3 linked regions of the Anolis sagrei genome follow. The protein of the gene in region 1 purifies or fractionates together with the protein of each later gene. This does not show direct contact. Links are inferred from orthologs where the notes say so. Each region holds a gene or a part of one and is shown in the gene's direction. Other genes may lie near its edges.

What was found. The genes of interacting proteins can lie anywhere in the genome.
Region 2: the proteins of NIFK (region 1) and FTSJ3 fractionate together in Homo sapiens (co-fractionation; 3 studies listed by BioGRID, with this or other methods). This does not show direct contact. The link is inferred for Anolis sagrei from reciprocal best matches to the Homo sapiens genes NIFK and FTSJ3.
Region 3: the proteins of NIFK (region 1) and NOP2 fractionate together in Homo sapiens (co-fractionation; 3 studies listed by BioGRID, with this or other methods). This does not show direct contact. The link is inferred for Anolis sagrei from reciprocal best matches to the Homo sapiens genes NIFK and NOP2.

Annotation. Positions count from the first base shown.
Region 1 is NC_090023.1:257,608,474-257,616,276, reverse strand, and holds the start of NIFK (MKI67 FHA domain-interacting nucleolar phosphoprotein), read left to right. Parts: upstream 1-4,783; 5' UTR 4,784-4,820; coding exon 4,821-4,955; intron 4,956-7,803. Other genes in the region: ACTL6A (actin-like protein 6A), read right to left, coding at 92-168, 2,723-2,747.
Region 2 is NC_090026.1:37,882,585-37,890,462, reverse strand, and holds the start of FTSJ3 (pre-rRNA 2'-O-ribose RNA methyltransferase FTSJ3), read left to right. Parts: upstream 1-4,862; 5' UTR 4,863-4,955; coding exon 4,956-5,022; intron 5,023-6,601; coding exon 6,602-6,707; intron 6,708-7,459; coding exon 7,460-7,506; intron 7,507-7,878.
Region 3 is NC_090022.1:197,352,301-197,359,393, reverse strand, and holds the start of NOP2 (28S rRNA (cytosine(4447)-C(5))-methyltransferase), read left to right. Parts: upstream 1-4,077; 5' UTR 4,078-4,155; coding exon 4,156-4,261; intron 4,262-6,592; coding exon 6,593-6,638; intron 6,639-7,093. UniProt on the Homo sapiens protein: S-adenosyl-L-methionine-dependent methyltransferase that specifically methylates the C(5) position of cytosine 4447 in 28S rRNA. Required for efficient rRNA processing and 60S ribosomal subunit biogenesis.

The DNA of each region.
Region 1 (7,803 bases):
CCATATAAAATCCAGATAATCTGCTTTGATTATATGGCAGTGTAGACGATGCCATTGTTACCAGGTAATAACAGCCCACTTTTGTTCTTACCTTTGGGCAGTCTTCTCCAGCATAGCCAGCTCTCACAGTGTAAGACCCGATATCAAAGACCAGAGCTCCAACTTCATCTGCAAACACAAATATAGACTCTGGATAACTTTGATTAAACAAAAACAAAATCTTATGAGGCAAATAAGTTTATTTATTTATTATTTATTCAAAACTTTTATATCCCGATCTTCTCAACCTCCACAGAGGGACTCAGACCGGCTCACAATGCCACAACACAGTTTAAAACATCATACAACAGTAGATTAAAATACATATAAAGTAAAATACATATAAGCCAGTTCACCAAGGTAAAATCATGTCCAACTTAGTCCGCATATGTCAATAACTTTAGTCTGTTGCCGGTCTCAGCCATTATTCTGGGAAAGCTTCAATCCATAGCCAGGATTTCACTAGCTTCCTGAAGGTAAGGAGAGAGGGGGCAGATCTAATCTCATTTGGGAGAGAGTTCCATAGCCGAGGGGCCACCATGGAAAAGGCCCGGTCTCTCGTCCCCACCAGACACAATTGCAAAAGTGGTGGAACTGAGAGCAGAGCCCCTCTGGAAGATCTTAACAGCCTTGATGGTTCATAGGGGAGAATACGTTCGGACAGGTAAACTGGACCGAAACCGTATCTGGTTTTGTAGGTTAAAACCAGCACTTTGAATTGTGCTTGGAAGGTAATTGACAGCCTGTGGAGCTGGCGCAACAGAGGAGTTGTGTGCTCCCTGTACCCCGCTCCTGTCCGTAGCCTGGCTGCCGAGCGTTGGACTTATTGCAGTTTCCGGGCAGTCTTCAGAGGCAACCCGGAAGACTGCCCGGAAGCCTCAACTAGTCCAACGTTCAGTAGCCAGGTTGCTCACTGGGGCTGGGTACAGGCAGTGCACAACGCCCTTGTTACACCATCTCCACTGGCTGCCGAGTAGGATAGTCTTCCAGGCTCAGTATTCTGGTGGGTCCATAGGTGACTGTGGAGCCCAATTCTTGATCTGCATCTTCTCCCGCAGTGAGGGCATTGGTTTCCAGGTGGAAGGCGGTCTTGGTCGGGGTTGGCTTGACGCACCTTTCTCCTGGCACGTTTCTCTCTTTCGCCCCCCATTCCTGCCTCTTCAAATTCTGCAGCACTGCTGGTCACAGCTGACCTCCAGCTGGAGCGGTCAAGGGACAGGTCTTTCCAGTTCTCGGTGTCTATGCCACAGTTTTTAAGGTTGGCTTTGAGCCCATCTTTAAATCTCTTTTCCTGTCCATCAACGTTCCGTTTTCTATTCTTAAGTTCAGAGTACAGCAACTGCCTTGGGAGACGGTGGTCAGGCATCCAGACAACGTAGCCGGTCCAGCAGAGTTGATGGCAGAGGACCATCACTTCAATGCTGGTGGTCTTTGCTTCTTCCAGCACACTGACGTTTGTCTGCTTGTCTTCCCAGGAGTTGCATGTGACGTCTGTAGACAGTCCACGTCTCACAGGCATATAGCAGGGTTGGGAGGACAATAGCTTTATAGACAATCACCTTGGTATCCCTACGGATGTCCTGGTTCTCAAACACTCTCTGCTTCATTCGGGAAAATGCTGCACTCATAGAGCTCAGGTGGTGTTGTATTTCGGTGTCGATGTTGACTTTGGTGGAGAGGTGGCTGCCAAGGTAGCGGAAATGGTCAACATTTTCTAATGTTGCACCATTGTATCTCTGGCATTGGAGAGGGGATGGCTGGTGACTGCTAGAACAGCACTTTGGTTTTCTCGATGTTCAGTGACGGGCCAAGTTTCGTGTACGCTTCTGCAAAGGTATTTAGAGTGGCTTGTAGATCTTGGACCACCGTGGCCAAGTCAGACTTCCCAAGGTACGGGAAAAGCTCTCCTGGTCACCGCCGAAACCTGGTGTTCCAGGCTCAACGATGAATCCAGGATGACTCCCAAGCTGCAAACCTGCACCATCTGGGCGTCCCCTGGGCAACACCCTTGCAGACGGCCAATTCTCTCACACCAGAAGCGACTTGCAGTCTCTTGTGTCGCTCCTGACACGACAAAATAAAAGGGGGAGTGTAACCCTATGCCCTGTTTGGCCTTGCGTCTGACCAGGAGGACCTCTGTCTTGTCTGGATTGATGTTGAAAAGCCGCCTTGAGTCACCTTCGGATTCGAGAAAGGCGGGGTAGAAATATCATAAATAAATAAACAAATAAATAAGTAAGTTTATGGGCAAAATACATTGAAGTTACAGAGGCCTGGAAGACACAAGTCTCCTAACCACAACAAGTCTCCTAACAAGTCTCCAAACACAACAAAGTGACAATCCATCAAGGAGTGAGAGCTAGTTTGGAAGATGTCAGCAAAGCCATCAGCTTGTATTTCTGATCAGGCAGGCCTGGGCCAACTTGGGCCCTCCAGGGGTTTTGGACTACAACTCCCACAATTCCTAACAGCCTACCGGCTGTTAGGAATTGTGGGAGTTGTAGTCCAAAACCCCTGGAGGGCCCAAGTTGGCCCAGGCCTGGTCTAGCTGCAACTTCAGAGAGTCTAGCCTGCTTTCCACTCCAGAGTCATTCAAAGGAGAGTCCCCTTCCCTTCGGTCTTAAAGGCGCCGCAGCCCCGCCTGGCTTTCCCATCTCGCGCATGCGCCAAGCCCTCCGCTCACCTCCTCCGTAGACCCCGCCGCTCATGGCTGCAACCGAGGCTCCGCTCTGCTTCTCTTCACAGCGCGCGGCGGGATCCCTTTCTCCCGTTCTACCTCGCTAAGGCCCGCCTCCTCTCCCTCTCTCCACCAATCGGCAGCCCGCCGCTGTTCCAAAGCCCGCCTATCGCTGGAGGAGCCAACTGCAAAGGGCTCTCCTGATTGGCTTTCGTTTTGCCTAGTAGGTATCATAGGGTTTGTGTCCCTCCAATGGGAGGAGAAGATTCAAGTTTGGTTGCCTTGTAGTAGTTTTGGTGGGAAGATCAGCACAGAGGGAAAAGTCTAGTCAAGGGAGAGCATTGGATTTCTGCATGTTTTGCTTGGGAGTTTAATCTGTTTTATTTTTTATTTTAATTATTTTAATTTATTTTTATTAATATTTTTATTTAATTTATTAATTAATTAATTAATCTATCTATCTTCTATATCTATCTATATATATACAAAAGAACCAATGAATGAAATCACACCAAATTTGGCAACAAAACGTCTCACAACACAAGGAGTGACCATCACTCAAAAAATTATGATTTTGTCATTTGGGAGTTGTAGTTGCTGGGATTTATAGTTCACCTACAATCAAAGAGCATTCTGAACTCCACCAACAATGGAATTGAACCAAACTTGGTACACAGAACTCCCATGACCAACAGAAAATATTGGAAGGGTTTGCTGGACATTGACCTTGAGTTTGGGAGTTGTAGTTCACCTACATCCATAGAGCACTGTGGACTCAAACAATGATGGATCTGGACCAAACTCTACAAGAATACTCAATATAACCAAATGTGAACACTGGTGGAGTTTGGGGAAAACAGAATCTTGACATTTGGGAGTTGTAGTTGCTGGGATTTATAGTTCATCTACAATCACAGTGCCTTCTGAATCCCACCAACAATAGAATTGGGCCAAACCGCCCACACAGAACCCCCATGTGGGCCACAGCAACGCATGGCAGGGGATGGCTAGTATATATATATATATATATATATATATATATATATATATATATATATATACATACATACATACACTAGCCAAGCCCTATGAGAAGCGGCTTAAGGAGCTGGGCATGTTTAGCCTGAAGAAGAGAAGGCTGAGAGGAGATATGATAGCCATGTATAAATATGTGAGAGGAAGCCACAGGGAGGAGGGAGCAAGCTTGTTTCCTGCTTCCTTGGAGACTAGGACGCAACGGAACAATGGCTTCAAACTACAAGAGAGGAGATTCAATCTGAAAATGAGGAAGAACTTCCTGACTGTGAGAGCTGTTCAGCAGTGGAACTCTCTGCCCTGGAGTGTAGTAGAGGCTCCTTCTTTGGAAGCTTTTAATCATAGGCTGGATGGCCATTTGTCGGGGGTGATTTGAATGCAATATTCCTGCTTCTTGGCAGAGGGTTGGACCGGATGGCCCATGAGGTCTCTTCCAAGTCTTTGATTCTAAGTGCAGCCTTGCATAAAATACCTTTCTTGATTATCCAATACTGTATGATCAACTTTTTGATTCTATGATTATATATATATATATATAGGATCCAAGTTCATACATATCTCATGTGATATACAGTGATGATAATGGAACAGGGCCCAACAACATAGTAAAATGTTGACCTTTCTGTAAAATGGCAAAATCAAAGGTTGCTCTTCAGAGAGAGAGAGAGAGAGAGAGAGAGAGAAATGTATATGGGACCCAAATTTAAACACACACACACGTATATCCTATGATATACAATGATGATTATTATATTATATTATATTATATTATATTATATTATATTATATTATATTATATTATATTATATTATATTATATTATATTATATTATATTATATAGAATGCGAGGATATGGAGGTCTGGCTGTCTTTGCATTTGTGAATATCACTGGAGTCACTCCTCATCCAGTACTTCCGCCCCCAGCCAGCAGGGGCCGCTGTTCTGCCGTCCTTGTTCCTACTGTGGCACCAAGCCAGCCAAGCGGAAGTGACGAGAGGAGGCTTCCGTTTCTTGGCAGCCACACGCCGTGTGAGGCAGAGGCGGCCCCTTTTCCTGCTGCGGAGGCGCCATGGCGGCGGTAACAGAAGGCTCTTCCGCGGCGAAGGCGAAAGCCAAGGCCAGACAGGCGGCCCCGCTCCTTTCCTTGGACCTGGACCGACAGCAAGAGTTCCAGGCTGAGGTGCAGCGCGTGCGGAAAGGCAAGGTGAGAGAGAAGGAGGGGGAAGCGCCACCAGAGTCTCTTAGGGTGCCGCTGCACTGCGCATGCGCAGGTGTTTGGGACTCCCAACTCCTACAATTCCTAACAGCCGGTAGTTGGAGTCCAGAACACCTAAAGGGCCCAAGTTGACCCAAACCCATGTACAGTTTAGCAGCTATTAGGGGTAGGTAAGGTAAAGGTATTGTATTTTGTCTGTTTGCTTTGTTCTGTTAGAAATGTAATATAATTGACTGGTTGATCTGACACGACAAATAAATAGGTAAAGGCAAAGGTTTCCCCTGACATTATAGTGTCTGACTCTTGGGGTTTGTGCTCATCTCCATTTCTAAGCTGAAGAGCCGGCGTCGTCCGTAGACACCTCCAAGGTCATGCGGCCAGCATGACTGCATGGAGTGCCATTGCCTTCCCACTGAAATGCTACCTATTGATCTGCTATAGAATCAAAGAGTTGGAAGAGACCTCATGGGCCATCCAGTCCAACCCCCTGCCAAGAAGCAGGAATATTGCATTCAAAGCACCCCTGACAGATGGCCATCCAGCCTCTGTTTAAAAGCTTCCAAAGAAGGAGCCTCCACCACACTCCGGGGCAGAGAGTTCCACTGCTGAACAGCTCTCACAGTCAGGAAGTTCTTCCTCATGTTCAGATGGAATCTCCTCTCGTAGTTTGAAGCCATTGTTTCACGTCCTAGTGTCCAAGGATGCAGAAAACAAGCTTGCTCCCTCATCCCTGTGACTTCTTCTCACGTATTTATACATTATTATCATGTCTCATCTCAGCCTTCTCTTCTTCAGGCTAAACATGCCCAGCTCTTTAAGCTGCTCCTCATAGGGCTTGTTCTTCAGACCCTTGATCATTTTAGTCGCCCTCCTCTGGACACATCCCAGTTTGTCAATATCTCTCTTGAATTGTGGTGCAATTTGCATCTTTTTGAACTGCTAGCTTGGCAAAAGCTGGGGCTAACAGCAGAAGCTCACCCGCATTCAAACTGCCAACCTTTTGGTCAGCAAGTTCAGCAGCTTGGCGGTTTAATCTGCTGCACCACCAGGGGGGCCCAGATATTAGGGGTGCTATGCTGATTATTGGAAGGCTGTTGTTGTTCATTCGTTACGTTGTTTCTGACTCTTCGTGACTTCATGGACCAGTCCATGCCAGAGCTCCCTGTCGGTCGTCACCACCCCCAGCTCATTCAAGGTCAGTCCAGTCACTTCAAGGATACCATCCATCCATCTTGCCCTTGGTCGACCCCTCTTCCTTTTTCCTTCCATTTCCCCCAGCATAATTCATTGGAAGGATAAACAGATATATTTATGTGTTAGCCCTGTCCTTATTAGTCCTCTTGAATTCGTTTTCATACATTAATATATTTTTTTCCACATCTCATTGACTTGCCCACATTAAGAGCCGTGGCTCATGAGAGTTGTAGTTTGGCAAGGCACCAGCAATCTTTAGCAGATTAAATAATAATAATAATACCACAAATACCATTTGCCTGCAACAAAGAACTGGTGGAATCATAATCTGGAAAAAAGTTACAGAAAATGAACATGTCAAACTACTCTGGAACTTCCAAATTCAGACAGACAGAGTTTTGGAGCACAATACTTCTGACCTCACGATCATGTTAAAAAACAAAGTACGGATTGTCGATGTGACAGCAGGATTGAAGAGAAACAACTGGAAAAACTGACACGATATGAGGATTTAAAGATCGAACTGCAAAGACTCTGGTACAAACCAGTAAAGGTGGTTCCAGTGGTGATTGGCACACTGGGTGCAGTGCCTAAAGACCTTGGCATGCATTTAAACACAATCGACACTGACAAAATTACCATCTGCTAGCTGCAGAATGTCACCTTACTGGGATCTGCACACATTATTCGCCAATATATCACACAATCCTAGACACTTGGGAAGTGTCCGATGTGTGATCCAATACAACAGCCAGCAGAGTGATCTTGTCTGCTGTGAGCTCATCTTGTTGTGTTTCAAATAATAATAATAATAATAATAAAACTCTTATCTCCCCAAGGGGATTCAGGACAGATTCCAACAAACAAAAAGGCAAAATTTCAGTGCCTTCACATGACCATAAATTCAAATACAAGTACAGGGTTAGTCAAAATGAATAGGCCAATTCGGGTACAATTAATTTTCTTATTGGCCTATTCATTTTGACTAACCCTGTACAATAACAGCCTGACCAAGTCCCAAGTGAACCAATATCTACAGTCAAATTAAACTTAGCTATCAAGTAACTCAACTCGACACAAAAAAAAATTGACATAGAAATCAATTTACAGAAACCAAAAATCATTTGAAATAGAATTAAAAGAGTATTACATAACTAATGATACCAACAAGCCAACAGCACCTGCAAGCCAGAGCAGCAATAGTAATTTTATATCAGAGACATTTTAAAGACCTTGTAAAACTGTGACTTTTGTTATTTATTTACAGTATTTATATTCCGCCCTTCTCACCCTGCAGGGGACTCTGGGTGGATTACAATGTACATATACATGGCAAACATTCAATGCCATAGACAGACAGTCAGAGGCTATTTAACATTCCAACTTTTTCTGGCCCCCAGGGGAGCTGTCACTTCACCGTCCATCCACGACACCAATGAAGTACTTCTTCATTCTCCGCGTCCTTGGTGGAGATTTTTATGGCCTCATAAATTAGTTAAATTAGCCTCCCCACAAAGTGGTACTCACATTTCCTACTTGACAGATGCAACTGTCTTTTGGGCTGCAAAATTGACAAGCTACACAAATTTGGTCGGAAGCTCACTCCGACACGGGCTGGCTTCAAACTCATGACCTTTTGGTC
Region 2 (7,878 bases), on another chromosome or scaffold:
TAATTTCAACAGCAATAGTATAGTGGAAGTTGCTTCTGGTGTGAGAGAATCAGACATTGCCCAGGGGATGCCCGGATGTGTTGCTATCAATTTGCTTCTGAAACAATCAATAAATAACAGCAATATTATATTGACTTTTTTTTCTAGTTGAATGTAAAAAGAAAAAAGAAAAAGAGAAAAAATATAGAAAGTATGTGTTTTCACATGGAAAGTGGGGGAACAATGCACTGATAGGATAGTAGAAAAGAAGAAAAGAGAGAGAAAAGAAAATATTATATATATAAATCTAAAGGTAGAATAAAAAGAAAAAAAGTGTGATTTTGATTTCCATTCTTGTTCATAGCAGTTCTTCATTTTTATTATTATTTGTGTGTGTGTGTATTATTAACCTTTCTCTCTTTTTATAGAGTGGCATCTTTCTTTTTTCTGTCCCTTGATTATGATTTTTTTCCCAATCCATCTCATTCATCTTGCAATTCTTTTGAAAGATATATTTACTTAATTTATTTCTTTACAAAGGGGATTCAGAGCAGCTTACAAGAGATATATACATACAATATATTATATTATTAGCATAGTAAACATCAGTATTAAATATTACTATATTGTACTATACCGTTATATTGTAACATTATTAGTAATATTACATAAATATATATATTATTTACGATTTTGTTTTATTTACGAAAGTTATCACAGGGGAGAGGCGGATGAGAGAAGCCTCCCACACGGATGATAAAAACATCAAATCATCCTGGCATCCCCTGGGCAACGTCCTTGCAGGCGGCCAATTCTCTCACACCAGAAGCAACTTGCAGTTTCTTAAGTCGCTCCTGACACGACAAAAAGAAAAAAAACAACAACAGGGAGATATATATATATATATATATATATATATAGTATTGTTGAAGGCTTTCATGGCTGGAATCACTGGGTTGTTGTCGGTTTTTCGGTCTATAAGCTATATGGCCAAGTTCTAGAAGCATTATCTCCTGACCTTTCACCTGCATCTATGGCAATCATCCTCAGAGGAGTGGGGTGTGTATGTGTGTGTATCTGGCGAGCACTACAGTCACAAAGAATACCAGAAGACTATGTAACATGGATAAAGCTACTATACAATAATACAAGTATGGTCCGCTGTCCTGAGGAGATTTCACCACCCTTCAACATCACTGTTAGCATGCATCAGGGATCAGTACTCTCACCATTACTATTCATACTCTGCATTGATACTGCTACAGCAGATTTGCAGACTATGCATCCCTAGACAATCCTATATGCAGATAACATAGCACTCAGCCACCAAAAGCGTGCAGCCCTCCAACGACAGCAGCAGACATTCAGTGATAGTGAATATTGACTTCAACTGAACATACCCAAAACACAGTATCTGGAATGTGGCCTTCAAACTGGAAAAACAAGTCTCCAGACCCTTGATCATTTTAGGCGCCCTCCTCTGGACACATTTTCTTAGGCATGGAATCATCTGCTGCTTCCTCTGAAATGTAGCCTTCAACTCCCGGTATTCCTTGTATTCTTGTCTCCTGGATATGTCATCAGTTGGAGACCCCTCTCCCCCCCCCCCCCCCCACCAACCGCCGCTAGGAGTGAGTACAAAGGAGGCCAGGGGACAGTTCCATCTTGTCTCCTGCATATGTCATCAGTTGGAGACCCCTCCCCCCAGCATCAACCACTGCTCTGAGCCAGAGTGAAGACAGAGGAGGCCAGGGGACAGTTCCACCTTGTCTCCTGTGCTATGCTAATCTATATAAATAAAAATGTAATGTTAGTTCGTGCTACCATCAGAACTCAAAAACCACTGGGGGAATTGACATCAAATTTGGACACAAGACACCTAACAGTCCAATTTATGTCCTCCACTAAAAAAAATATATGATTTTGTCATTTGGGAATTGTTGTTGCTGGGATTTATAGTTTACCTACAATCAAAGAGCATTCTGAACTCCACCAATGATGGAATTCAACCAAACATGGCATACAGGACTTCCATGACCAACAGAACACACTGGAAGGGTTTGGTGGGCATTGACCTTTAGTTTGGGAATTATAGTTCACCCACATCCAGAGAGCACTGTGGACTCAAACAATGATGGATCTGGACCAAACTTGGCACGAATATTCCATATGCCTAAATATGAACACAGATGGAGTTTGGAGGAAATAGACCTTGACATTTGGGATTTGTAGTTACTGGGATTTATAGTTCACTACAATTAAAGAGCATTCTGGAACCCACAAACGACAGAAATGGGGCAAACTTCCCACACAGAACCCCCATGACCAACAGAAAATACTTTAGGCCAGTGGTTCTCAACCTGGGGTCCCCAGATGTTTTTCCTACAACCCCCAGAAATCCTAGCCAGTTTACCAGCTGTTAGGATTTATGGGAATTGAAGGCCAAAAACATCTGGGGACCCCAGGTTGAGAACCACTGCTTTAGGCCATCCAGTCCAACTCTCTTCACCAGGGCAAGAAAATGTAATCAGAGTCCTCCTGACAAAGAGCCATCCAGTCATAAATATAGATAGATAGATATGATTCTCTCTCTCACACACAGATATAGTATCATAGATTTGAAAGAGACCCTTAAAGAAGGACTATGATATGTTGCATATTCTAGAGTAGGCAAACCAGACACTCTCCACATCAACACTGACAAAGAAACAACAAGAAATACTGTTTACTCACAAGCATAAAGGAATTACATATATTAGAAACCAACACTTTCTCATTTCTTTATTTTCCAGATCACCAGGCTGGGCCACAGCAACGCATGGCAGGGGACAGCTAGTATATAATATAATATGATATAATATATTGTATATACATATAATATTTATAATATTATAATGTAATACAGTATAATACTAATAATAATGATATGATATTAGAATTATATATTTTATATTACATGTGCTATTACTAATAATATTACAATATAATTGTATAGTACAATATAGTGATGTATAGCACTGATATTGTACTGTGCTAATGGTATAATGCAGGGGTCCTCAAACTTTTTAAACAGAGGACTAAGTCACAGTCCCTCAAACTGTTGGAGGGTTGGACTATAATTTGAAAAAACATGAATTCCTATGCACACTGCACATATTTTATTTGTAGTGCAAAAAACCCCACTTAAAAACAATATAATAATTAAAATGAAGAACAATTTTAACGAATATAAACTTATTAGTATTTCAATGGGAAGTGTGGGCCTGCTTTTGGCTGATATTTATTTATTATTTATCTTGTCATAGGCAACCAGACCATTGTATTACATTTCTAACAGAACAGAAAAAAAACAGACAGACAGACAAAACACAAAGTTTGCAAGCTTGGTAGTTGATTAAATGTCCTTTGACCAGTATCTGGCCACTTGGAGTGCCTCTGGTGTTGCTGCAAGAAGGTCCTCCATTGTGCATGTAGCAGGGCTCAGGTTGCATTGCAGCAGGTGGTCTCTGTTTTTGGCTGATGATATAGGATTGTTGTTGTTGTTGTGTGCTTTCCAAGTCATTTCAGAATTAGATTGACCCTGAGCGAGGGCCGGGTAAATGACCTTGGAGGGCCATATCTGGCCCCCGGGCCTTAGTTTGCGGACCCCTGGCATAATGTATTGCATATCTTGAAACCGCTCTGACATAAATAAATAAATAAATATTCCAGGTACTGACCATGGCTAATCCTGCTTTGCTTCTAAGGTCTAATGGTATCTTGTGGTATCAAAGATACAGAATGGGGGATGACTGGCTTGAGAGCAGTACGTGTGAAAAAGATCTTGGAGTCCTTGTGGACAACAAGTTAAACATGAGCCAACAATGTGATGCGGCGGCAAAAAAAGCCAATGGGATTTTGGCCTGCATCAATAGGGGCATAGTGTCTAGATCTAGGAAAGTAATGCTACCCCTCTATTCTGCTTTGGTTAGACCACATCTGGAATATTGTGTCCAATTCTGGGCACCACAATTCAAGAGAGACATTGACAAGCTGGAATATGTCCAAAGGAGGGCGACTAAAATGATCAAGGGTCTGGAGACCAAGCCCTATGAGGAGCGGCTTAAGGAGCTGGGCATGTTTAGCCTGAAGAAGAGAAGACTGAGAGGGGATATGATAGCCATGTATAAATATGTGAGAGGAAGCCACAGGGAGGAGGGAGCAAGCTTGTTTTCTGCTTCCTTGGAGACTAGGACGCGGAACAATGGCTTCAAACTACAAGAGAGGAGATTTCACCTGAACATGAGGAAGAACTTCCTGACTGTAAGAGCCGTTCAGCAGTGGAACTCTCTGCCCGGAGTGTGGTGGAGGCTCCTTCTTTGGAAGCTTTTAAACAGAGGCTGGATGGCCATCTGTCAGGGGTGATTTGAATGCAATATTCCTGCTTCTTGGCAGGGGGTTGGACTGGATGGCCCATGAGGTCTCTTCCAACTCTTTGATTCTATGATTCTATGATTGTGCATTTTAGGCAGTCTAGCCTTTTATGATTGGGAACCGGAAGTATAGTGTCTATAAATATTGTCTCTTTGTTTTGGTTGCAAAACTACTGCGCATGCGTATTAAGGCCGGACGTTTACATGACAAGCAAGTATTGGCGTTCTACCGCCGCCATCTTGGTAGGGTATTTTCTTTAAAGGCACCTTTTAACTGAGAAGACGCTGATGGAATAGTGCAATAAGACACCAGTATTTTTAGAATTCTTAACTATGTGATTCTGCATGTCTGTCTGTCCCTGCGGTTGGGATTGAGGTTAAAAACCGGAAAGGGAGGGGGGAAGGAAAGAGATATCTGCCACACTCAATATGACTACAGAGGCAGTGACGTTTGTAACCAGGAAGAGGCAAGCCTACGGATCGGGAGAAGGATCATAGGAAGTTTTACCCACGTGCTAGCCTGGTGGTAGATCTTCAGCGTTTGAGGCTGATTCCTCTGCCAAGATGGGGAAGAAGGGCAAAGTAGGAAAGAGCCGAAGGGACAAGTTCTATCACTTGGCCAAGGAAACAGGTGAGGATATGGGATTGGGAGCATTTCTGGTATTATGTCAAGAAGCCACGTTTCCTTTCTTTGGGGGTTAGAGGCTCAATTGATAGCTTTTAGGTGGAGAGAAAGCCCATTCTCCATAGAGGATGAAACATTAAGCCTTGATTTTCAGGGCTGCATCTACACTGTCGAATTAATGCAGTTTCTTAGAATCAAAGAGTTGGAAGAGACCTCATGGGTCATCCAGTCCAACCCCCTGCCAAGAAGCAGGAATATTGCATTCAAATCACCCCTGACAGATGGCCATCCAACCCCTGTTTAAAAGCTTCCAAAGAAGGGGCCTCCACCACACTCCGGGGCAGAGAGTTCCACTGCTGAATGGCTCTCACAGTCACGACTTTAACTGCCATGGCCCAGTGCTACAGAATTGTGGGAGTTGTTGTTTAGTGAGGCACCAGGATTCGTTAGCAGGGAAGGCTCAAGACCTTGTAAAACCATAACTCCTGTGATTCCATAAGTAGTGCCAAACTACATTCTACAGTATAGATCAAGGGTCCTCAAACTTTTTAAACAGAGGTCCAGGTGACAGCCCCTCAAACTGTTGGAGGGCCGGATTATAATTTGGAGGAAAAAAAGAACAAATTCCTATGCACACTACACATATCTTATTTGTAGTGCAAAAACCACTTAAAAACAATACAATAATTATAATGAAGAACAGTTTTAACAAATTTATTAGTATTTCAATGGGAAGCGTGGGCCTGCTTTTGGCTGATGAGATAGGATTGTTTTTGTTTCTGGACAAGATTTGTTCGTAAGTTTGCCATTGCAACCCTTTGAAGCTGAGAGAATGTGATTAGCTCAAAGTCAGCATGCAGGTTTTATGAGTAAATAGGATTTGAACCTCATCTCTCACTACACCAATCTGGCTCCGTACATCATTTTATAATGAGGTCCAGTATGGTGTAGTGGTTTGAATGTTAAACTTGGATTCCAGGGGATCGGAATTTGAATCTCTGCTCAACTGTGAAAACCCACTGGGTGACCTCTGGCAAGTCACATTATCTCGTCTTCAGTGGAAAGCAAAGGGTAACCCCCTCTGAACATTTTTTTCCTATGTAAACCATAAATACTGAGCCATAAGTCAGAAACAACTTGAAGGCACACATCAACAACAAAGATAACAGTTCTCCGAAAATTAAAATGCTCCACAATTTAAAGTGCTGGTTATGGCCTGTAAAGTCCTATGTAGCTTTGATCCAGACTATTTGAAAAACCCAATCTTGTATCAACCTGATTAAGTGTGAAGATCCCTAGGATGTCCTCTCTTAGGGCACTGCCATTTAGCAGGGAACTGGGTGATTAGTTCTGTAATACAAGCGCATACAGGACATCTAACTTTGTGGCTTTATTTTCTTTTAATTCTTTGGGCTTCAGCTCTCTTATGGATCACCAGAGTCTTTCAGAACATAATTTTAGTGCATAAAGTAGTGCTCAGAACTTTTGGGACACACTGGATTAAGTAGCTGTTGGGCCTTTTTTTACTTGCAGTCCTAAAGTTCTAATTGTACTTGTTGTTTGTGTCTCGTTTCCCCTCTTCTAGGATTCCGTTCCCGTTCATCTTTCAAGCTCATCCAGTTGAACCGAAAATTCCAGTTCCTTCCCAAATCCAGGGCACTTCTGGATCTGTGTGCTGCTCCTGGAGGATGGTTAGTGAGCAGTAAAGGGAACAGGGAACCCTATTATTGCAAATTACTGCGCATTTGGCATTGGTACCAGTGCAATGTACAAGACTCCATATTATCTTAAATAGCCAAAGACCAGCTGAGTTAACAACAAGCTAGTTGAAGTTGTGCTGAATAAAACCCCTCAGTCAATGGATATTAGAAATTACCTTTGGCCTGAGTTTGTTCTGAATGCTAAACTGAAGATGTTTTTTGACATAATGCAACTTCTCCCTTGTTCTGCCCTTCTTTGTTTTCATTCTGACTTCTCTGCTGCCAGATCTTAGCCAGCAAATAATTCTATCTTGGCTGTTCCCCAGGATCAGCCATTAGAAGAATGTTTTGACCACATAGAAATATTTCTGTGGATAGTATAGGCTTTGGGCTAATTTTAATCTATTGCAGCCTGTGTATCTCTGAGTGGTATTGTCGAAGGCTTTCATGGCCGGAATCACTGGGTTGTTGTAGGTTTTTTCGGGCTATATGGCTATGTTCTAAAGGCATTTTCTCCTGACGTTTCGCCTGCATCTATGGCAAGCATCCTCAGAGGTAGTGAGGTTGAGTTATCTCTGAGTTATTAATGCATTAATATGGTGCTAGCATTCACATTTCTGCGGTGTTTTAAGAGATGTGCAAGATTTTGAGGAACGTTGAATAAAAAGATTCTGCCTTTTTCATGTTGTTGTTTATTCATGGATTCTCAAAACGAGACCTGTTTCCGTTTCATCTTCCAACAGGTTGCAAGTGGCCTCAAAATTTATGCCAGTGTCCAGTCTTATTATTGGTGAGTAACCTAGTTGTGAGAGGATGAGGAGTGGCATATCTGGAGAAAATAAAATAGGAAGGGCTTTGCTGGATTGGACCACATGTTTTTTCTTATTTTATGCATGCTGTTTAACTCTGAGGCAAATCAGATGGCTCAGGATAATACACTATCAGGATACAAGCCCCTCTGTCACTGTTATTCCCAGCAGCTGATCTTCAGATATTTTAAACAGTAGGCCTTGTCATCCATAGTCATCATAGCTTGGTCTAGTGTTAGAGCAGTGGAAAGCAGGAGGTGGTGGTGGTGAAATCAACAAAAGAGTAGTGATTAACAGTTTGGAGTGTTCAGAACTCTGCATAGATTGATTTTTGGTAAGTCTCACAAATCTTG
Region 3 (7,093 bases), on another chromosome or scaffold:
GTATTTTATTTGCCTCTGTCAAACTATTTGGGGGATTTTTACAGTGTTAAGTGCCTTCTAGCCTGGCAACCACCCAAGCAGCAGCCAGGCTTTGCTTTTAGGTTAAAATGATCAGCTCTCACGTTTTGTGAGGATCGCAAATAATAACTCCAGTCTGATTTGGATTTATGAGGTTAATTCTTGAAAGGGCTAATCAAATATATTTTGTTTTTTCCATAAACGTTTTGTATACAAGCAGATGGTTATCAGACTATGGGAGGGAGCACCAGTTGCTGATTCTGTACTTTAGTCTCAGCTGTGGTTTTTTTGCCATGAATCAGCCTGAGAGTTACTGTTGTCAGAAGTGGGGAAAGTTTGCAAGAATCTCTTCCAAACTGGTAAAGCTGATGTATAAGTACGTGTACTTAGCTACTTAATGCAATGCTTTTGTTCCCAGAATGGTATTGTGTGAATCTATGAAATCTCAAAGATTCCATTTGTGTACTGATGACTTGCTTTAAGATCATAATTGTTAGGGAAAACTATGCGAAATAAAGCAGAGCATCCAAAAACAATCAGGATACAAAAAGTTGAGCATCAGCTCATTAGCAAGCAAAGCCAAGTGATATGGCTGTAGAGAATTCAGAGCTTAGGAGCCAATCTTTTAAAAAATCACAAAAGGTTTATTTACAACTAGCCGTCCCCTGCCACGCGTTGCTGTGGCCCACTCTGGTGGTCATGGGGGTTCTGTGTGGGAGGTTTGGCCCAATGTTATCATTGGTGGGGTTCAGAATGCTCTGTGATTGTAGGTGAACTACAAATCTCAGCAACTACAACTCTTAAATGTCAAGATTCTATTTTCCCCAAACTCCACCAGTGTTCACATTTGGGCATATTGAGTATTTGTGTAGAGTTTGGTCCAGATCCATCATTGTTTGAGTCCACAGTGCTCTCTGGATGTAGGTGAACTACAACTCCAAAAACCAAAGGACACTGCCCACCAAACCCTTCCAGTATTTTCTGTTGGACATGGGAGAACTATGTGCCAAGTTTGGTTCCATTCCATCCTTGGTGGGGTTCAGAATGCTCTTTGATTGTAGGTGAACTATACATCCCAGCAACTACAACTCCCAAATGACAAAATCATTTTTTGAGTGAAGGACATACATTGGGTTGTTAGGTGTCTTGTGTCCAAATTTGGTGTCAATTTGTCCAGTGGTTTTCGAGTTCTGTTAATCCCACAAACGAACATTACATTTTTATTTATATAGATAATAATGAACTACCTATATTTCTTCATGGTAAAGAACTGGGTCTGAGCTACTCCAACATCCATCTCTTCTAACATTTCAACAGAAGAGAAAACTCAATCATTACATCTCTCCTGACACACAAGCAGAGAGAGATCTCAAAGCACACAGCACATACTCTCCATACTAAAGTGTAGGAAGGCAGAAGTCTGATTCAAAAAGGTTTGCAGTAGAAAAGTATCCAATTTAAAGAATGAGAGCAGAAAGAAGAGATGAAAACAGACACATTCCCAACTGTCATACAGGAGACATGGGGGAAAGGAAAACTCTCAGACTATTCTAATGCTAACCAATTTCTCCTCATTGAGGGCTTGAGACTTGATCAGTGTGGGGTTGCATTCCAACAATAACAACACCCAAACTGTACCATCATTACATAGTTTGGGTGTATTGTATAGTATAGTATAGTATAGTATAGTATAGTATAGTAATGGCTTCGCTAGGAAGCTCTATATAACACAGCTAATGTTCTACTATCCACTAGAATCTGCATATCCCAGGGCATTTTCTCCTTAAACAAGAATTTGGGGTTGGAGTGGGCAGGCGGGTAGATAGGCTTAAATTAGGCACAGGCCTGAGTCCCTCAGGACCACAAGCGCAGGATTGCTGATGTCTTGGAGGTCCAAACAGCTACTATAAGACAAGTAAAATCGTGAGACAAGCAGAAATGGCAGAAATAGCCTACAGAGCTTTCCAACCATTTCATGTTGGTGACACACTGTTTACACATGCATCACAACATATCTCATGAAAATCGTTTATTTTTATTTTTTGTTGTTGTAGGTTTTTCCAGACTATATGGCCATGTTCTAGAGGCATTTTTTTCCTGACGTTTTGCCTGCATCTTTGGCAAGCATCCTTAGAGGTAGTGAGGTCTATTGAAACTAGGAAAATGGATTTATATATCTGTGGAATGACCAGGGTAGGACAAAAAACTCTTGTCTGCTGGAGTTAGGTGTGAATGTTTCAACTGACCACCTTGATTAGCATTTGATGGCCCTGGCAGTGCCTGGGGCAATCTTTTGTTGAGAGGTGATTGGATGTGCCTGATTGTTTCCCCTCTGTTTTGCTGTTGTAATTTTAGAGTTTTTTAAATACTGGTAGCCAGATTTTGTTCATTTTCATGGTTTCCTCCTTTCTGTTGAAATTGTCCACATGCTTGTGGATTTCAATGGCTTCTATGTGTAGTCTGACATGGTGGTTGTTGGTGTGGTCCAGCATTTCTGTGTTCTCAAACAATATGCTGTGTCCAGGTTGGTTCATCATATTTTTATTTTTGTAAATAAAAATGTAACACAAAACTCAGAGGTTTTGTGTTAACATTCGCGCAACACACCCATGCACTCCAGTTGACACAGTACAACACACAGATTGTAAAGCTCTGTTCTACTTGTTTAAATTGCAAAGGATAGTCTACTGTTAGGACAGAGTAAAAAAAAAAGCCAGAAACAAAGCATACAGAGTATGAACATGCAAATATATTTAGCCAAGTGCTTTTTTATATCTACGTGTATGTTACTACTGAGATATTCTACAACTGAGTTCGTAAGGTAGCAACATGGTTGTAATATTTCTAAACTGTTTCGGATACTTTGGGACATGTCTTTTCAGCCATGATTGTTTCTTGTCTGGAGTTCCTCTGTTCTTGAGTGTTGTTTACTCTCCTGATTTTTGATATTTTTTTAAAATATTGGTAGCCAGATTTTGTTCATTTTCATGGTTTCTTCCTTTCTGTTGAATGTGTCTACATGCTTGTGGATTTCAGTGGCTTCTCTGTGTCGTCTGACATGGTGGTTGTGAGAGTGGTCCAGCATTTCTGTGTTCTCAAATAATATGCTGTGCCCAGGTTGGCTCATCAGGTGCTCTGCTATGGCTGGCTTCTCTGATTGAACGAGTCTGCCCTGCCTTTCATGTTTCTTGGGACAGCTTTTCTTTTTTTTGGTCGTGTCAGGAGCGACTTGAGAAACTGCAAGTCGCTTCTGGTGTGAGAGAATTGGCCGTCTGCAAGGACGTTGCCCAGGGGATGCCCGGATTATTTTTTATGTTTTATCATCCTTATGGGAGGCTTCTCTCATGTCCCCCCATGAGGAGCTGGAGCTGATAGAGGGAGCTCATCCGCCTCTCCCTGGATTCGAACCTGCGACCTGTCGGTCTTCAGTTCTGCCGACACAGAGATTTAACCCACCTCGCCACCGGGGGCTTGGGACAGCTAATCAGCTCTCAACAAAGGATTCCCCCGGGCAGTAAGAAGCTACACCTTGAATCTGCTAGGCCATCAAATGCTAATCAAGGTGGCCAATTGCAACATTCACACTTGCCTCAAGCAAAGAAGAGTCCTTTCTCCCACCCTAGACTTTCCATAGATATATAAACCTCACTTGCCTAATTTCCAACAGACCTCATAATCTTTGAGGATGCCTACCACAGATGCGGGCGAAACGTCAGGAGAGAATGCTTCTGGAACATGGCCATACAGCCCGAAAAACTTACAACAACGAAGTCCAAAACACCTGGAGGACTTTGTTTTAAAGAGTAGGCAAAGCACTGCATACCACCTTAATCCTGTAGCTGCCTCCTGCAGAATTATGGGACTTGTAGTTCAGAGAGGCGAAGAAAAGATCTCGCTAGTCTAGCTGGTTCCTCCGTAGACCACAAGCCCCAGGATTTAAAGTGGAACGCACCCTCTTTAACCTATTCCGGACGCAGAAGCGTATCACCCGCTGTCCAATCCCAAGGCGGAGAGCTCTAGCGGAAGGCGCCCCCGTGGCCAATGAGAGCCTCCTCCTGAGGCGGAAGTGCGCGTGGCCGAGGAGGAGGCGGGCCTGCAATCCACGTGCGCGCTTTCGGGGAGCGAGGCCTGAGCAGCATGGGGCGCAAACTGGACCCGGCGAAGAAGGTCAAGCGGGGGCCCGGGCGCAAGGCCCGCAAGCAGCGCGGCGCCGAGGAGGAGCTGGCCGGGTTCCTGCCTCCCGGTGAGTCGGGCCAGGGCTGCCTTGGCCGTGGAAAGCCCTCGGGATGGGCCGAGGCCTCAGGGGCAGAGCACAGCCCTCGCCACAGCATCCCGGGAGTTGCCCTTTGCGGGGAGGCCCCGGCCCTCTTGGGCAGAGAAGGCGGGAGACCTTGTGAAACCACAACTCCCAGGGTTCCTGGCCCTTGATCCGTGCGTGGCCCTTCAAGGAGCCGCATCCTGGGTGGGAGATATAGTGCTCTGTCAGGTCGGAAGTGGACTCATTATATGAGACTGCACTGCCATAGAATCCAGATTATCTGCTTTGGATTGGATTCTGTGGCAGTGTAGACTCATATAATCCGGTTCAAAGCAGATAATGTGGCTTGTCTGCTTTGATAATCTGGATTATATGGCAGTGTGGAAGGGACCTGGTTTATATGGCAGTATAGACTCATATAATCCACTTCAAAGCTGGTAACGTGGATTGTCTGCTTTGATAATCTGGATTATATGGCAGTGTGGAAGGGACCTGGATTATATGGTAGTGTAGACTCATATAATCCACTTCAAAGTTGGTAACGTGGCTTGTCTGCTTTGATAATCTGGATTATATGGCAGTGTGGAAGGGGCCTGGATTACATGGAAGTGTAGACTCATATAATCCACTTCAAAGATGGTAACGTGGATTATCTGCTTTGATAATCTGAATTACATGGCAGTGGGGAAGGGACCTGGATTATATGGTAGTGTAGACTCATATAATCCACTTTAAAGCAGATAATGTGGATTGTGTGCTTTATTCATCTGGATTATATGGCAGTAGACGGGGTTTTACAGAGTTCCAGGGAGAAATTGAAGTGGTTCAGTCATGGGACTGGTTTCTACAGCCCTTTTATACTGCCGTATAAGATTATCTGTTTTGAACTGGGTTATATGACAGTGTAGACATATAATCTAGTTCAAACAGGTAATGTAGATTATCTCATTTAATAATCTGGATTACATGGCAGTCTAGAAGGGGCCAATCTAATCAAAGCATTTATCTCTGATATGTCTAAATGAAGAATGGGCATCCACTGGATTCTCACTAACCTTAGAGGATGATTAGGCAGTTGGAGGGCAAGGAGAGAGATTTTCTTGAAAGGCAAATTGTGGTCATAAATATGGGAGGCAGGACAGTTACTGCTAAATAAGCATCATACCGCCAATGAAAGGGAAACTCACAACACTGAATCCACAAACATTTGCACATATGTACAGGCCTTTGCTTTGATGGTCTGGATTTTATGGCAGTGTAAAAGGAGCTTCATATACTCTGGGACTTCCAAATTCAGACAGACAGCGTTTTGGAGCACAATACTCCTGACCTCACAATCATGTTTAAAAACAAAGTATGGATTGTCAATGTTGCAATCCCAGGTGACAGCAGGATTGAAGAGAAACAACTGAAAAAACTTGACACGATATGAGGATTTAAAAATTGAACTGCAAAGACTCTGGCACAAGCCAGTCAAGGTGGTCCCAGTGGTGATCGGCACACTGGGTGCAGTGCCTAAAGACCTTGGCCTGCACTTAAACACAATCGGCGCTGACAAGATTACCATCTGCCAGCTGCAAAAGGCCACCTTACTGGGATCTGCACACATTATTCGCCAATACATCACACAGTCCTAGACACTTGGGAAGTGTCCGACATGTGATCCAATGCAACAGCCTGCGTCTGCTGTGGACTCATCTTGTTGTGTTTCAAATAATACTAATGATGATGATGATGATAGCAGCAGCAGCCATCCTTATGGCTCGATGTTTCTTCTAGACTGGAAATCTTGCCATTGTCCTTGTTGGGATTTTGTGCATATTTTGCCTTGGGCCCTTCCACATAGCCATATAACCCAGAATATCAAGGCTGATAACCCAGAATATCTGCTTTGAACTGGGTTATCTGAGTCCACACTACCATATATTCCAGTTCAAAGCAGATAATGGGCGATTTTATTCAGCTGTGAGAAAGCAGGCCTACTGCTACTCCTTTTGTGGAAAACACAGATCTCTGTCACACTACACTTTAAAGTATAGGATTTAGAGTGTGCATTCCACCATAGGATCCTGGGATATGTGGTTTGTAGAGGCATCATCCTTTTTTGGCAGAGAAAGCTAAAAACCTTATGAAACTACAGCTCCCATGGTCCCATAGCATGGATCCACAGCAGTTAAAGTGGTGTCAGACTGCACTAATTCTACAGTGTGAATGCAACCTTGAATTCAGCTAGGAGCTCTTGATGTTGTTCTAGCTGTGCTTACTCTCTTGATCAGCCTCCTATAGAGATTGATATGTCTATGTTTTTCTTCCAAGACCCTGATGACAATATAAAGAAGCTCTCCAGTCACGCACGACGAAGGTTAGTAGGAAAGTCACCAAAATTTGCTAACAGTTCAGAATATAACTTCCTCTTCATTTATAAACTGTTAAAAATTATAACATCCTTTTTTAAAATACGGCTTCTCAAACCTATTGAGAATTTGTTGGTTGCTCATAAATATCAGGGTGTTATATTGTGTGTTACTAAAGATTAAAATCAAGTGTGAGAATTTACAATCGAATAAACAATAGATGGCTGTCATTTTAGGCCACCTAATGGAATTAATCACAACCTCTGAGGATGCTTGCTACAGATGCAGGCGAAACATCAGGAGAGACTGCTTCTAGAACATGGCCATATAGCCCGAAAAACCTACAACAACCCAATTGTTTATTCATTTCTTAAAAGCATTTATAGCCTGTTCTTCAGCCAAAAATAATCCCTGAATGTTTCAAAGCTATTCCGTTTTCTTTGGTTTTGACTTTGCTTTGTGC